Neurospora crassa OR74A: one gene and its partners. The protein of the gene in region 3 purifies or fractionates together with the protein of the main gene of each other region. This does not show direct contact. Links are inferred from orthologs where the notes say so. Each region holds a gene or a part of one and is shown on either strand. Other genes may lie near its edges.

Region 1 (4,137 bases), on a different chromosome or scaffold from region 3:
GCGACTTTAGTTGAAGTCTGTGAGGCGACGAGGCATACGAGACTACCTCTACTCTAGAAGTTCAATCTGTATTGGGTAAAAGTATACCTCTACCGTGCCTCTACATCTGTAACCCTTGGACGGTGACGGCGACGGTTTCTCGTTCTTCCCTCATCGCGGAGTCAAACAACGGACCGTGGGGAGAAAAGGGTGATATGGATAAGTACCATGGAACAAAGGACCAACTTCACCCGAAAGGACTGGAAACAATGTGTGATTACACATGAACGAGTACAACACTCGTCCGCAGTTAATTTCCCAAAACCTAAAAAAAGGTACAAACAAATACGATTACGAAAACAGAGAATCACCGATTCCACAACTCTCCGTGTTACATACCGTTCCTTCTCCTTCCTCCGCTCTTACTCCTAGCAATATGCGCCGTCAGACGCTTCTTGGTATCCACCAAACTCCTCTTATGCTTCGCCCTCGCCTTACCAACCGTCATTAGGAAGTTCTTCTTTCTCGCCTTCTCCTTGTTCGTCGACGACTTGCCCTCAGCCTCCTTCTTGGATTTCCTGATTGCCTGCGTCGACTTGTGCTCCTCACGCGCAGGCTTGCCATCCTTGGCCATGGCCACCCGCTCCTCCTTGGTGCTCTTCTTGCCAATCTGGGCAGGCAACTCAATGTCGTCGGCGGTAACACCGTCTTCGATGTGCTTGGCGATAAGTTCTTGTCTCCTCTTGGAGACGGTGCCTGTCATCTTGTCTAATTGGGCCTCCCGGCGGAGCTCTGCCAGTTTGGCGAGGTCGGCGGGCGTGAGGATAGTGGTCATGGCGAGCTTGGAAATGCGGTTGGCTTCGGCGGCGGCGGCCATGGCTTCGTCGGAGATGAGATCAGGAGCCGTTGAGCTGTCGCGACGCTGCTTCTTGGCTGCAGGCCCTTCGTCCTCGTCATCGGAGTGCTCAACGTTGATCCACCCGGTTGAAGAGTCAGAATCGTTGGAGGCGACTTCCCACTCGTCGGAATTGAACCCATCTTCGTCATCATCATCATCCTTCATCTTAGCGTCTCCATCAGCATCCTCACCCTTCTCAGCGAGTTTCTTGAGTTTCTGCTCCTCCTTGTACTTCTCGAGAAGCTCGATACCCTCAATACCGCTCTCCACTTGCTCTTCACCAAACTTGAGCCTCTTGACCTCACCCGACTTCAATCCCATGGTTGCCTCCTTGCCGCGGAACTTCTTTTGCAGCAGCTCGGGGTAAACTTCACGGTAAAGAGACTGAAGACCCTTGGCGGCCATTACCACGCCCTTGTCCTTGGACTTTTGGTACATGACTAGATCTTGAAGGAGAGTCTCGCTCATGCAGAGCGGTTGGCGCAAAGCGACTTCACGGATAGAGTTGATACCGGCAGAGGCAACTTCGGCGGCAGAAGCCTCCGAGACGAACTCATTGGCGATCTTGACAACGAGAGGTTCGATGGCGTCGGGAGGAACGTGGTTGTGTGTCGCCTGCGCCAAAGAAGCGAGGAATGAAGTGACGGACGGTTGCTTGGGCGTCAAGTACTTGGTGAACCACGGATACAAGGAAATGATGGTGAGCTTGTGCAGACCGACCAGACGGGTGACGAGCTGGAGGACCAGTAGCTTGTTGTCGAGGGAGAACTTGCACTTGGTATTCTGCAGGTGTTTCTGGAAAAGCTGCTCGGCGAAGCCTTGAGGATCGTGAATGAGGTGGAGAGCCGAGAAGTTCAGCGGATGAGGGGCATGCTTCTTGCGCTCCTGCTTCTTAATCTTTTCCATGGCCTTCTCCATGGCCTTTTGGCGCTTCTTGGTCTTCTTGTTGATAGTGCCCTGATGCTTGACCTTCTTAATGTCAATCTCCTCGTCACTAGAGTCGTCCTCCATCTCCTCGCGCTCCTTGTCGCCACCCAAGAAGAAGCGGACACCACCAACGACGACCTTTTCGTTGTCGGACAAACAGGCCTCCTTCATGACGTCGCAGGGCCGGGCGTCGGTCCAGATCTGGCGGCGCCACAGCTCGCGGGTGATGCGGCAGGCCCACATGCCTTTGGTCGAAGTGCGGTCCGAGGTAACGAGGTTGTGCAAGACAGTTTGGATGGTGCGGTTGAGCTTGTGGTTGGTGGCCTTGGAGTTGGACTCGCGCAGGTCGCTGACGATCTTGGTATACAGGAGGGAGCGGAGAGACTTGGAGGGCGTCGAGATTAAAATGGGGAAGAGGGTGGTAAGCAGGCTGGTCGAGTCGATGACATCCTTGCGACGGAGGAGAGACAAGCTGCCAACAACCTTTTCGCGAAGATCGGGGTTGAGAACGGCATGGTGTTGAGTCAAGAGCTCCTTAAGGTGGTCGAAGTAGGGGGCAGTGACATCGGGGTACAGATCGGCGACGTGCGCGACGAGGTCAACGAGATCGTGGAATTTCTTGTTATCTTCGCTGGAGGCGGAGGAAGGGGACGAGATGAAGATTTGCCGTTGGGCGTCGTATGCGAGCCATTGGTCGTAAAACTCTTGGGCATAGGATCTGGAGGAGGAGGCCAGGGTGTTAGTAAACAGAAGCGACTGACGACGAGGGCAGCAATTGGCGACGACGACGACGACGACGACGACAACAACAAGAACAACTCACTTGGGATCCCTCCTGATCTTGTACTGCAAACTGACCAGGTCAGCGTCGACCTTCTCGAGGGCGGCCACCTTTCTCTTGGGCATCTTGGCGGCTGGAGCGGGAAGGACGGTATTCTGAGTGATGTTGAGATCGATGCGAGTCGCAACGAGAGTGCAAGCCGGTTCCCTCTGCTCTGTTCAGTTCCAGTCCTCTGGCACAATCCTCAACCCTCGCTTTGCCTGGAGCTTCAGCGGTCCAGAATTTTTTGGGAAATTGATTCCTTATCGGATCCTTATCAGCTGCGCCAGTGGAGTTGGTGGACGTTCCAGGCGGGGAGGACCCTGGACAGCGCGGCATTCTGTACCCCACTTGAACTGTGCCCTTTTAAATTTTCTTTTTCTGCCGCGCTTTTTCTTGGATTTCTTTTCCCTTTTGCTTTCCACAAATCACCATTTACTTGGGCGATTGACGGCAGCAACTGCTCCCCGCGGTTTGCTATTCCCATTCCGGCGATGATGCATTCCTCATCCGCCACTTGAACTTGGACAACCGAGACGATTGGCATATGCTGTCTTTCGTTTCGTCCTTCATCTCCCAACAACATGCGGCTCTTCCTCGTTCGACACGGAGAGACCGTCGACAACGTGGCCGGTTTATAGTACGTTCAATCCAGCAGACCATGTCCACAGGACAATTGGCTGACCTTCCCCAGCGCAGGCATTCGTGACTCCCCCCTCACCACCCACGGTGTCTTGCAGGCACGTCGTCTAGCCTCGCACTTTGCCTCGCGGTCGTCCTCAATTGGTCCTGTCACGCACATCTTCTCTTCCGATCTGCAGCGCGCAGTCAGTACTGCCCAGGCCATTGTGGACGCCCAGGTGACGAAGGCAACGGAGAAGGAAGATACGGACCATTCCAAGCTCCAACTAGTACAGGTTGTCGAGCTTCGCGAACGCGATTTCCGATCTGCCGAGGGGAAGCGCTTTGGCACACCGCATTCCGATGCCGAAACGCATGACGAGATGCGCGCGCGAGCCACCGATTTCGTACAAGCCCACCTGGATCCGCTGCTGGACAGTATCTCCAATGGTGATAACTGCAAGACCAACACCTCCGTCGTGGTTGTCGCGCATGGCTTGATACTCAACTCGCTCTTGAGATCACTTTTGGCGCGTTATGCCCCAGAAGAGATGACGAGGCTTGCCAACGCAAAGCTGTCGTCGGGTTCTGTTGCCGGAAGGTCAGAATTTCTCGCTGCTTGGAGCAACACTGGATATCTCGAGATGAAGGTGGATGCCATCGCCTCGTCTGAGGAAACCGAGAAGTCGACTGCTCAGTTGACTGTCGTCCGGGTCAACGTCCTTGACCACCTCCACGGCCTGAAAAGGACCAGGGGTGGCATTGGCAGTGCCAAGTTTGACAGTAAACAGAAGACGATGGATTCGTTCTTCAAACCCGCTGCCAAAAAGCGACGGGTTGATTGACCGGTGTCAGCAATTGGTATGTTCCTGCCTCCTTTCTTCATTTACAC
Region 2 (4,416 bases), on a different chromosome or scaffold from region 3:
ACGTTCGTCGTGCATCGGTCCAAGTCGTGTTCCGCCGACGGCTTGGCTGGCTAAGCGCTTCCTACGACTTCACCCTTTCGGTCTCCAAATCTCTACAGTCAGGACGACCACCACTGACTTTCACTTCGCTCTGAGCAGGGGTGACACCCACCAGTCCTCGATTCCACTGCGCATTTTCTCTTCTATCCTATCTATTATGTCACATGCTTCACTCCACCCGCAGCGGTTTTTCGGTTACAGGGGTGGAATGGAGCCTAGGGCTGTCTGCTAGGCATCGCGCGGAAGCTTCACCCTTCACGCCTATTATACCACGGTATACCACGGAGTCCCGAGTGCCGATGGCTTCCATATGACTATCTGACGAATCAGTTCTATTCAGTTCACTCACTTTGTCTTGAATCGTCATCGCCTCAATCCCTTCGGTTTTTTCTTATTCTGTTGGGTTGTTGCTGCTTTCAACCCGCCCAGCGCGGGCATTAACATGGGCTCACAGCCAGATCGAGGCGAGTGTTCTGCCTCATGACAAGCAACGGTCACAGAGGTTGGTGAGAGCAGGCACGTTGCCATAAGTTCCAGGGATTACGAGTACGATTTGATGATCATCTTGGAGGATGAACACCTACATGTAAGAAGATATAAAGTGCTCTTCCTCGCTGCCTGAGAACAAAGTCTTTTTTTCTTTCCTCGAAGTAGACCTATGCACACCACCTTACTTACCATGCTACCTCTATCCATCATCTTTACCTACTGAGTTTCCCGCTGGAGTAGCGTACACTATATACGACAGTCGGATAGTACATTTCATCATGAGCACATATTACAGCGGCGGTGCTGGCAACACCGGTAGCGGCAATGGCTCAAATGGCGCGGCGGTCGGCCCCACATCGGGAGCCGGGGATCTACCCGCACCGGCCCAAGCTCCGAAGTGGGTCTTGCCATGGTTTCTTTTTATCTTTTTCCCAATCCTAGAATCCCGTCGTACGTCGGCATCCCTTTGGTAGTTGGCTGTTGAGCTACAAACATAATCCAAAGGCTTCCATATTACAGGCGGAATGGCAAAAGTAGTTATCTAATGCATCTTGTGTCACCAGAAGAAGAGAGTACGGCTCCATGATGAACAGATACATCCACGACACTACCACCCAAGTATCGGATCGGGTTTCGGGGCATCAGGACCCGATCAGCAACGACCGTCATAGGCTGGAGGTATTGCAGAGAGTGGAAAGACGGAGATGTGAGGCTGAGAGGTTGGCGAGGATTGCGAGAGGGAATTGAAGAGTGGTGAAGAAGGCACACAATTACTGTGTGCATCTTTGCACGATTTACGTTGTTTGAAGCGTTCATGTTGGGAGCTTACATAGTTCGTTGTGAATTGAACCTCAGTCACCACTGAAAACAGACAGCTCGGTCTGCTCAAGCGCAGACAGCTGGCAGACACTGCGCCAGTTGAAATGTCGTAACGTGAAAGCTTGGCACGGCTGCGACGAGTTTTTGGAGTAAGGTCACGGACCACAACAACCAGCGGCAGATTGGCAAAGGCTCACCCAAGGCTCCGAATCACACTATCTGAGCAACATTTCAAGACACTCTGCAACACCACGCCAGCCTCGGAAAAGCGTGCAAATCTGCTGTGAAGATGCTCAGGCCTTCATTGCCAAAGACTCTGACGGCTTTTGGCCCGCCTTAACCAGCTGGGTGGCCGGCCCGGACAGTGCCCGTCGCGGATCTCTGCATGGCTTCAAACCAGAAAGGTGCTCTCAACGTCGGGCAACAGTGAGGTATGCGACTCCCCTTGCATCACATGGACTTGTCCTGGGAGGCCTTTTCTTGGGCCGTTCATTGCGGAGATGTCGGCAAGGTTCTCTGCAAGACCGTGTCAGCCACGGCCCTTGCGAGGCTGAGTTGAGGTCTGGCTATCTGTCTCGAGATGGACCTCACTGGGTCGTCATGGCTGGCTCGAGGCCTTGCTGGCTGGGCCTTTGCCTGGAGCTTCATGATATTGCCAAGCCTCGGAGCTCCCTTCGAATTGGTCAAGTGGTCTGCTTGGCTCGCCGTACCCAAGGTTACCCCAAGGTACCTACCTACCTACCTACACTAACCTACCTACCCTCCCTCTGCGGAGGAGGAAAAAAAAAAAAAAAAAAAAAAAAAAAAAAAATCAGCAACAGCGACAAATCAGCACACACGGCAAGCAAAGCACCCACGGGAGCTGGCTGTTAGCTGACTGAGCTCGAGCTTCCATCCCTTCGCTTAGCTTGGACGTCGGCACCTTCCCTCCTGTACGGACGCATGTCTCAGGCGCGGTTGCGCTCAAACACGGCGGGCAATCACCTGGAAGGACACAACATCAAAGGGCCCATCAGTGGCATGCATCTTCGGCCCTTCTGAATTTTCGAGCGTCTCCTGGCGCCAACTTCAACACCAAACCTCGTCGCGATCATCCTTCCGGCCAAAACACCACTTTTCCATCCGCCAACCCCGCTTCATCCACTTCCACCAGTTCCACGCAAATCCCGCGCCGTTGCCCCGTCAATATCAACATCCAGCATCGTCACGACCACCGGTTTTATTCTCGACACTACGTCCATCCGCCCATCCCGCGCACAACCATCCCACCCCGTTCAATCCCTTCAAACAAACAAACAAACACAATGGCTGGCGGAAAGGGCAAGTCGTCTGGCGGCAAGAGCTCGGGTGGAAAGACCTCGGGCGTCGAAGGTCCCAAGAAGCAGCAGAGCCATTCTGCTCGCGCTGGTCTTCAGGTACGTTTTTATAGTTGACGAGCTTCATGGCTCTGTCCGCTTTCAATTCCTGCTCCGATCTGCACCATCGACGTCGTCTCATCAACCAACTTTTTTTTTGCTCGCATCCGCCATCCCTGTCGTCAGATGTCGATGGAATCACGCCGATACACCACAACGCGTCCACCGAGCCCCCTACATTTCCGGACAACCCCATAGTGCCAACCTACGAAGAACGCGAACTCGCTGCCTCACACGTCGGTCGCACACAACCCCGCCGCTGGGTAAAAGAAAAAAACCCCCATTGCGCCCCGTACGCGATACTATTTCGGCTTCATATGGACGCGTTGTTCTGTGCATCCTTCTCTCGCCCTGGCCCCGCACCCGGACCTTGTTCCGGTCCCTAACTTTGGATTTCTCGCTCTGACAACGAGGCGGAGCTGCGGCGTGCATTTCCGTCCTCTGGAGTTTGCCGTGTGTCTGATGCGCCATGCTGACTTGAATCTAATTAGTTCCCTTGCGGTCGTGTCAAGCGTTTCCTGAAGCAGAACACCCAAAACAAGATGCGCGTTGGCGCCAAGGCTGCCGTCTATGTTACTGCCGTGCTGGAATATTTGACTGCTGAAGTCCTCGAACTTGCGGGTGTAAGTCATTCATACCCCATCCGCTCGGCCATATTGCTTGGCGACGAGGAGGCTCCCATTTCCAAGTTTTACCTGCTTTATGGCTAACTCAATGATTTCCGTTGTATAGAACGCTGCCAAGGACCTGAAGGTCAAGCGTATTACTCCCCGCCATCTTCAGCTTGCCATCCGTGGAGATGAGGAGCTTGATACCCTCATCCGCGCCACTATCGCCTTCGGTGGTGTCCTCCCCCACATTAACCGCGCCCTTCTGCTCAAGGTAGAGCAGAAGAAGAAGGCCAAGGCTCAGGAGGCTTAAGTCCACAACTGCACCGAAAAACTCGACGTCGCACACGTTTCGCACACTGTCTTGCATCTCTCTAGCCCCGCTCCGGGCTGACGGGCAGGACAGCAATCGGCTTGTTCAAGGGATGTCACGGGGTGATGCCGGGGGGGTTGGGGATTGTCTTCGCTAATCCAACACTAACGCCGCTGTATTGTTGGGTATTTTCTTCCTATTATTTGTTGTTGGGATACGCACACGGGCTTGGGGCCCACCGAACCATGGCTTGAAAAAGCCGAGCACTCCCGGTGTCTGCGACGGCAACAAGCGCAGCGCATAGACGACGGCGAACTTCCCTTGCGACACTTCCAGCAGAGTGGTGCGTTCGGAACACACACGAAAAGCGAAGCGTTCTGTATCATCCAGACGTGGAAGCCGCTTGGGTGGCGATGAGCAGGGAGACCATTCACTGTATAATGTCATCTTGGAGTGCACCACACACTGGGAACGGCGAGCAATCTCCCCTCGTCACGGCGCGGCGTGCGACAGCAGCTCTTTTACGATATCTGTAACAACATGAATCTTCTTTATCGTTTTTTTTATAGTACGACTCGGCCATGAGGGCTTAGCGAGGAAAACATCAGGACACGTTAAATGAACGTGTCGGTTGGTACTGGTTGCAGGTAGTGGCGGAATAAAGGCTACAAGGAAGAGCCTTGAAAATTTGCGATACCAATTCTTATTATGTTCTCTCTACAGTCTGGGATGC
Region 3 (4,441 bases):
TATTGCTTAACGTAGAGTAAAAATGGAAATATGAGATGTGGCGTGTGTTCTTCCCATGCTATCCGTACTTCCCGTCTTCTTGCCCGGGCTCCTCTTTTTTTTCCACCTCAGGAGAAGAAGGACTCGCAAGAATCGAGCTGACTGTCCGCACAATGTATAGGAAACTGCCACAGCGACCTGACATGGCTTTGTTGTCCCCTTGACTTTGTCCGAGCCAGTATGTTTTCATGTAGACAGCTTTCACTCGATTCAGCGCAGATGGTCTCTTATTTCTCCTCGTGTCCCGAGCACTGAATAGTGTAACAACTTCCCGGGTTCCATTATTTAGTTTACTTCCAAGTCTCGAGGTACTTACTACCTACCTTCAAACTCGACCGGGAGCCGCCAAGCTTGCGTGTCAGTAGAGACATCGCCAACTAAATTTCCAGAAGCCCAGCTCCCATCCTTCAGGCCTTCCAGGCACGCACTGCCTCAGCTCGGCGACTCTTTCGTCCGTTGAGGTTTACTCTATCTACATCACGCGAGGCTAACAAGGGTCATGACGATTTACATCCATCTGAGAACTCCTTGGAGAAGTCATCCGCCCCTGGTGTCGTGGCCTAATGAACTTGACAGTCAGACAGTCTACATCGAGTCACGCTGTTGGATGACGGTTTGTGATGTAGAAACACCTGCAATGCTGTACTATGAAATCAACACCTAAATCCTCCTAGAATCACTGCTTTTGTCCCGTATAATATCATCCCTTTACGCACAAATCGACCCTTGTTCCGGTTTAGTTCGCATATCTGCTCCCATCCTTGCGCTCTGACGTGCCACTGCTTCAGGGGTCAGGACGAACTATCCTGCTAAGACTTATGAGAGACAACCACAGCGTCAAGGCAGGTGCTGAAGCCAACTCCTCATGTGACCAATTCAAATTCTGTAGAATGGTTATCGATCCACCACAAGCTCCGGCCATCCGCACACTCCTGTTCTTCCTGAGCCCACGGCCACCCCGGTGCGGTCATGCATGACCCTCAATAATTTGGAACTCAGACGCCAAATGTCATTGGGCGTTCTGCCCCTTGCCTGCGTGGTATAGTGGTATCATTTTCGTGTTCATTCAGCGATCAGCGTTTAGCTCTGCTTGCACTCAGCAGCCTCCTGCTTGGGCTTGCTGCCGTCCTCCTGTGAAATTTGTCAGCATACCTGCAGAGCATAGCATGTGTTGGGGAAAATTCAGAAAGTCTTACATCGTCTTCATCGCTCTCATCCTCGTCATCCTGGTCCTCGCTGGCATCTTCATCATCCTCATCATCCTCATCATCGAACTCGGCGTCCTCGAAGTCCTCCTCATCGAGCTCCTCAAAGGCGAGGGCCTCGCCAGTGAACCAGTCGATGGCGCGGGGAATAAGCTTCTCCTTGATATCCTCACCGAGCTGGTAGTCGAGCTCAAGACGCTCCTCAATATCGGAGGTGGTAGACTCGTCGTCATCAGTGGGGGCCTTAGGGGGGGAGAAGAAGTTGAAGAAAGACTCGGTAGGAACGGTCTTCTTGACGATGCGGGTCTGCTTGGTGGCTGTGCAATTTGTTAGTGAGCAAGTTTGAGAAAATTCAAGCTGGAACTGCAACTCACTCTTGTTGCGTTGCTTCTTCTGCTCAACGCGGACAGTAAGATCCTTGTCCTCCTTCCAGTTGATCTTGTCACCCTCGGCGTGATCGTAGATAAAGTCGCCACCATAGCCGCTCTCGTTCTGGTAGTAGTAGGTCTTGGTGATAGTCTTGTTGGTGAAGTACTCGTTCTCAGCGAACTCGAAGATGAGGCGGAATCCGGGCTTGTCAAGGTACTCCATGCGGATGTCGGTAAGGGACTTGAGGGCCTCCTCGTCGCGGTCGGTGATCATCTCGGCGAGGGAGATCTGGTTCTTCATGGCAGAGAGCCAGAACTCGGGGATACCAGAGACCTTCTCGGCAGACTCGGTAGCCTTCTCCTCCTGGGGGGCGGCCTCGGTCTCCTCATCCTCCTCCTCCTCATCCTCCTCACCGGCCTGGACCTGGTCCTCAGTGGGCTCAGTCTGGCCGTTGACAATGGCGGCACGCTGTTGGTAAAGAGGAGTGAACTTGGCAAAGTACTTCTTCTCGAGCTGGAGGACCTCCTCCTGGAACTCGGCCTCGAGCTTGGAGTGCTCCTTCTGAATGCCCTTCAGGCCAGCGACACGACGCTTGACATCGGTAGGGAGAGACTCAATGTAGCCGGACGAACGACCGACAAGAGAGCCGAGACGACCCTGGATAAGGGACACAAGTCTAGGGTCCTTGGCGAAGATGGAAGCGGCGGCGGCACGGTCAAGATCCTCTGCAACGAACAGTAAGTTTAGCGACAAGCCCAGAAAACTACCAAATAGTCTCAGCAGCAGCAAGAATCTTCACTCACCCTCCTTGATGCTGGCAACACCGGGCTGCTGAGCGTGCGACGAGATGGGGGCAGTGTTAAGAGGAGTGTTCTGGGGGGTGCTGAAGCGAAGGCTGGTCAGTAACGGTACGCGATACTCGGGATGGGCATCCCATCAAGTCTGGGGATGAAAACTCACGGAGCGATGGGGGGATCAGCCCGCTTGTTTCTGATGGGCTCGGCCATTGTGTCTGGTTCTGGTCAAGAGAAGGAAATGAGTTGGGATACAGAGAAGGAAGCGGTGGTAGAACCCTGCGACCGACGTACAGTGGATGTCGGAGGGAGAAATGGGAGAAGGAAGGGCAAATTTGGATTGAAGAAGCGGTCGGGTGTAGAGATTGATGAAGGGGCCCCGGTGCTGGTGGGAAAGGCAAAAAGTTCTGTGGTTGCCGGTCGGTCCAGGCAGAGAAGGCTTGTTGTGCAGCAGTGCAAGAAATGTTGAGCGAGGGTCGGGTCTGGAGGGGACCGGGAGGGGAGAAAAGCTATCAATGGGGTTGCTATGAAAATTTGCGGGGCACTGGCCAGTGCGGGCAGGACAGTCGGGTCGAGGGCACTGCAGCGGGAGGCGCCCCGTTGGACCACTCCATGATGCCTGCACTGCGCCGGCGACCACCCAGCCCCAGTCCGCTACTTCCATTTGCTGCCCATGAGTCTTGTCGCTTGCCCTACACCACCACCTAGAGGTATTTGACCTTCAATTCTATTCCAGCATAGGCAAGGTGCCCATTGTCATGGGTCACGTCTTTTTAGGGTCAAGCTCCTCCTGTCACTTGTTTGACTCTACACTCGGCCATTGCATGCCCGGTCTGCTCGTCTGAACTGAAAATCCCCTCAGGTACCTACGCCTAGCCAGATGAACCTAAACATGCCATTGTTGTTCTTATCGTACAAAGCCCGTTCATGTACATCGCATTCAGGTAGTGTATTTCCAGGTTGCCCGTCGCGCGTCGCTTCCTGGCACCACATGCTTCAGCATTTGGCTGGCGTGTCTTGCGTGCTAGCGTTCTCTCCAGGGATCCCGGCCAGAGACATGATGTAGGGTAAATGATATTGGTGACATGCCGGCTTCATATACACAAGTTACAAGGTACCTCATAGGTGCAAGATAGTTTAGAAGTTGCTTTTCGTCTGAACTGCGAGCTGCTAATATTGGACGGGTGTTTACATCTCGCCTTCTCACCGGCGTCGGGCTGCGGTGATTTGCTTCTAACGTTTAGGGTCTCTCAACTCAATTAGGCCTCCAGAGCCGGGCAGGTTTTGGAAGGCAAACTTGAAAATTCTGCTGATTCACTCTGTCCTCAGCAAGTCAAAACCTCATCAGCAGAGGCAACTTGACGCACACTTTTCTGCTTATGACTTCGATTATGAGTCGACGCTGGGTTCAGCGACCATCATCGGACCGATCTGAACCATCATGGCCGTAGACCGTCGTGGGCGTCCAACCTAAGTCCAGGTGAGATGCTGCAGTGACCCCAGTACACGACGTACGGGCACGTATGGAGCACGTTCTCTCACGTTGTGGTGTAGTGAGACCGCTCGCGGCATCTGCCAAGTGATCATCGCGATGCCCACGAATCTCCATCGCCAACTGAAGCCGACAAGGTTTGGGCCAGAATGACCCTTGTTGCACTGTGCTTATCGTAAAAATCGTGGATAGCGACCCCCATCTCCGCCATCGACCTTTCTGGCTAGAGGTATGTAAGTAGGCAAGCGTTAGCGGACATGCTTGGCATTCGATTGGCGGGCAGTGTTGAAAGAAAAATCCCATGCCTGTGACTGCCCCACTTGCTGACTGCCCGTTGGGACGGTCTGGCCCCGATCCTTCTCCGTGACTCCGGCGTCCAGGTCAACAAATGTGAAGAAGTCAGACAAGAGGATTCTAGCTGGAGTCCATCATTCCCATCTCCAGTCATCGTGCGGAAAGCCTGATCCACTCACTTGAATGTACAAGATGGTAAGGGAAGTATCGTGGAAGTTATCCATGCGATCGCAAGAAGCCCTACTGCA

Evidence for each region.
Region 1: the proteins of naf-1 (region 3) and NCU09488 purify together in Saccharomyces cerevisiae (affinity purification with mass spectrometry; 6 studies listed by BioGRID, with this or other methods). This does not show direct contact. The link is inferred for Neurospora crassa OR74A from reciprocal best matches to the Saccharomyces cerevisiae genes NAP1 and SDA1.
Region 2: the proteins of naf-1 (region 3) and hH2Az purify together in Saccharomyces cerevisiae (affinity purification with mass spectrometry; 13 studies listed by BioGRID, with this or other methods). This does not show direct contact. The link is inferred for Neurospora crassa OR74A from reciprocal best matches to the Saccharomyces cerevisiae genes NAP1 and HTZ1.

The regions. Positions count from the first base shown.
Region 1 is NC_026502.1:4,439,203-4,443,339, forward strand, and holds NCU09488 (SDA1 domain-containing protein), read right to left. Parts: upstream 2,841-4,137; 5' UTR 2,711-2,840; coding exon 2,628-2,710; intron 2,523-2,627; coding exon 371-2,522; 3' UTR 240-370; downstream 1-239. Other genes in the region: NCU09489 (phosphoglycerate mutase), read left to right, coding at 3,209-3,264, 3,319-4,090.
Region 2 is NC_026502.1:1,389,940-1,394,355, reverse strand, and holds the start of hH2Az (histone H2A.Z), read left to right. Parts: upstream 1-1,532; 5' UTR 1,533-2,651; coding exon 2,652-2,762; intron 2,763-3,253; coding exon 3,254-3,385; intron 3,386-3,494; coding exon 3,495-3,683; 3' UTR 3,684-4,416. UniProt on the Saccharomyces cerevisiae protein: Variant histone H2A which can replace H2A in some nucleosomes. Nucleosomes wrap and compact DNA into chromatin, limiting DNA accessibility to the cellular machineries which require DNA as a template.
Region 3 is NC_026505.1:4,745,756-4,750,196, forward strand, and holds naf-1 (nucleosome assembly protein), read right to left. Parts: upstream 2,895-4,441; 5' UTR 2,621-2,894; coding exon 2,574-2,620; intron 2,497-2,573; coding exon 2,417-2,496; intron 2,339-2,416; coding exon 1,619-2,338; intron 1,562-1,618; coding exon 1,236-1,561; intron 1,171-1,235; coding exon 1,120-1,170; 3' UTR 416-1,119; downstream 1-415. UniProt on the Saccharomyces cerevisiae protein: Acidic protein, which assembles histones into an octamer (in vitro). Involved in the regulation of the localization and the function of the septins during mitosis. Involved in the function of B-type cyclins.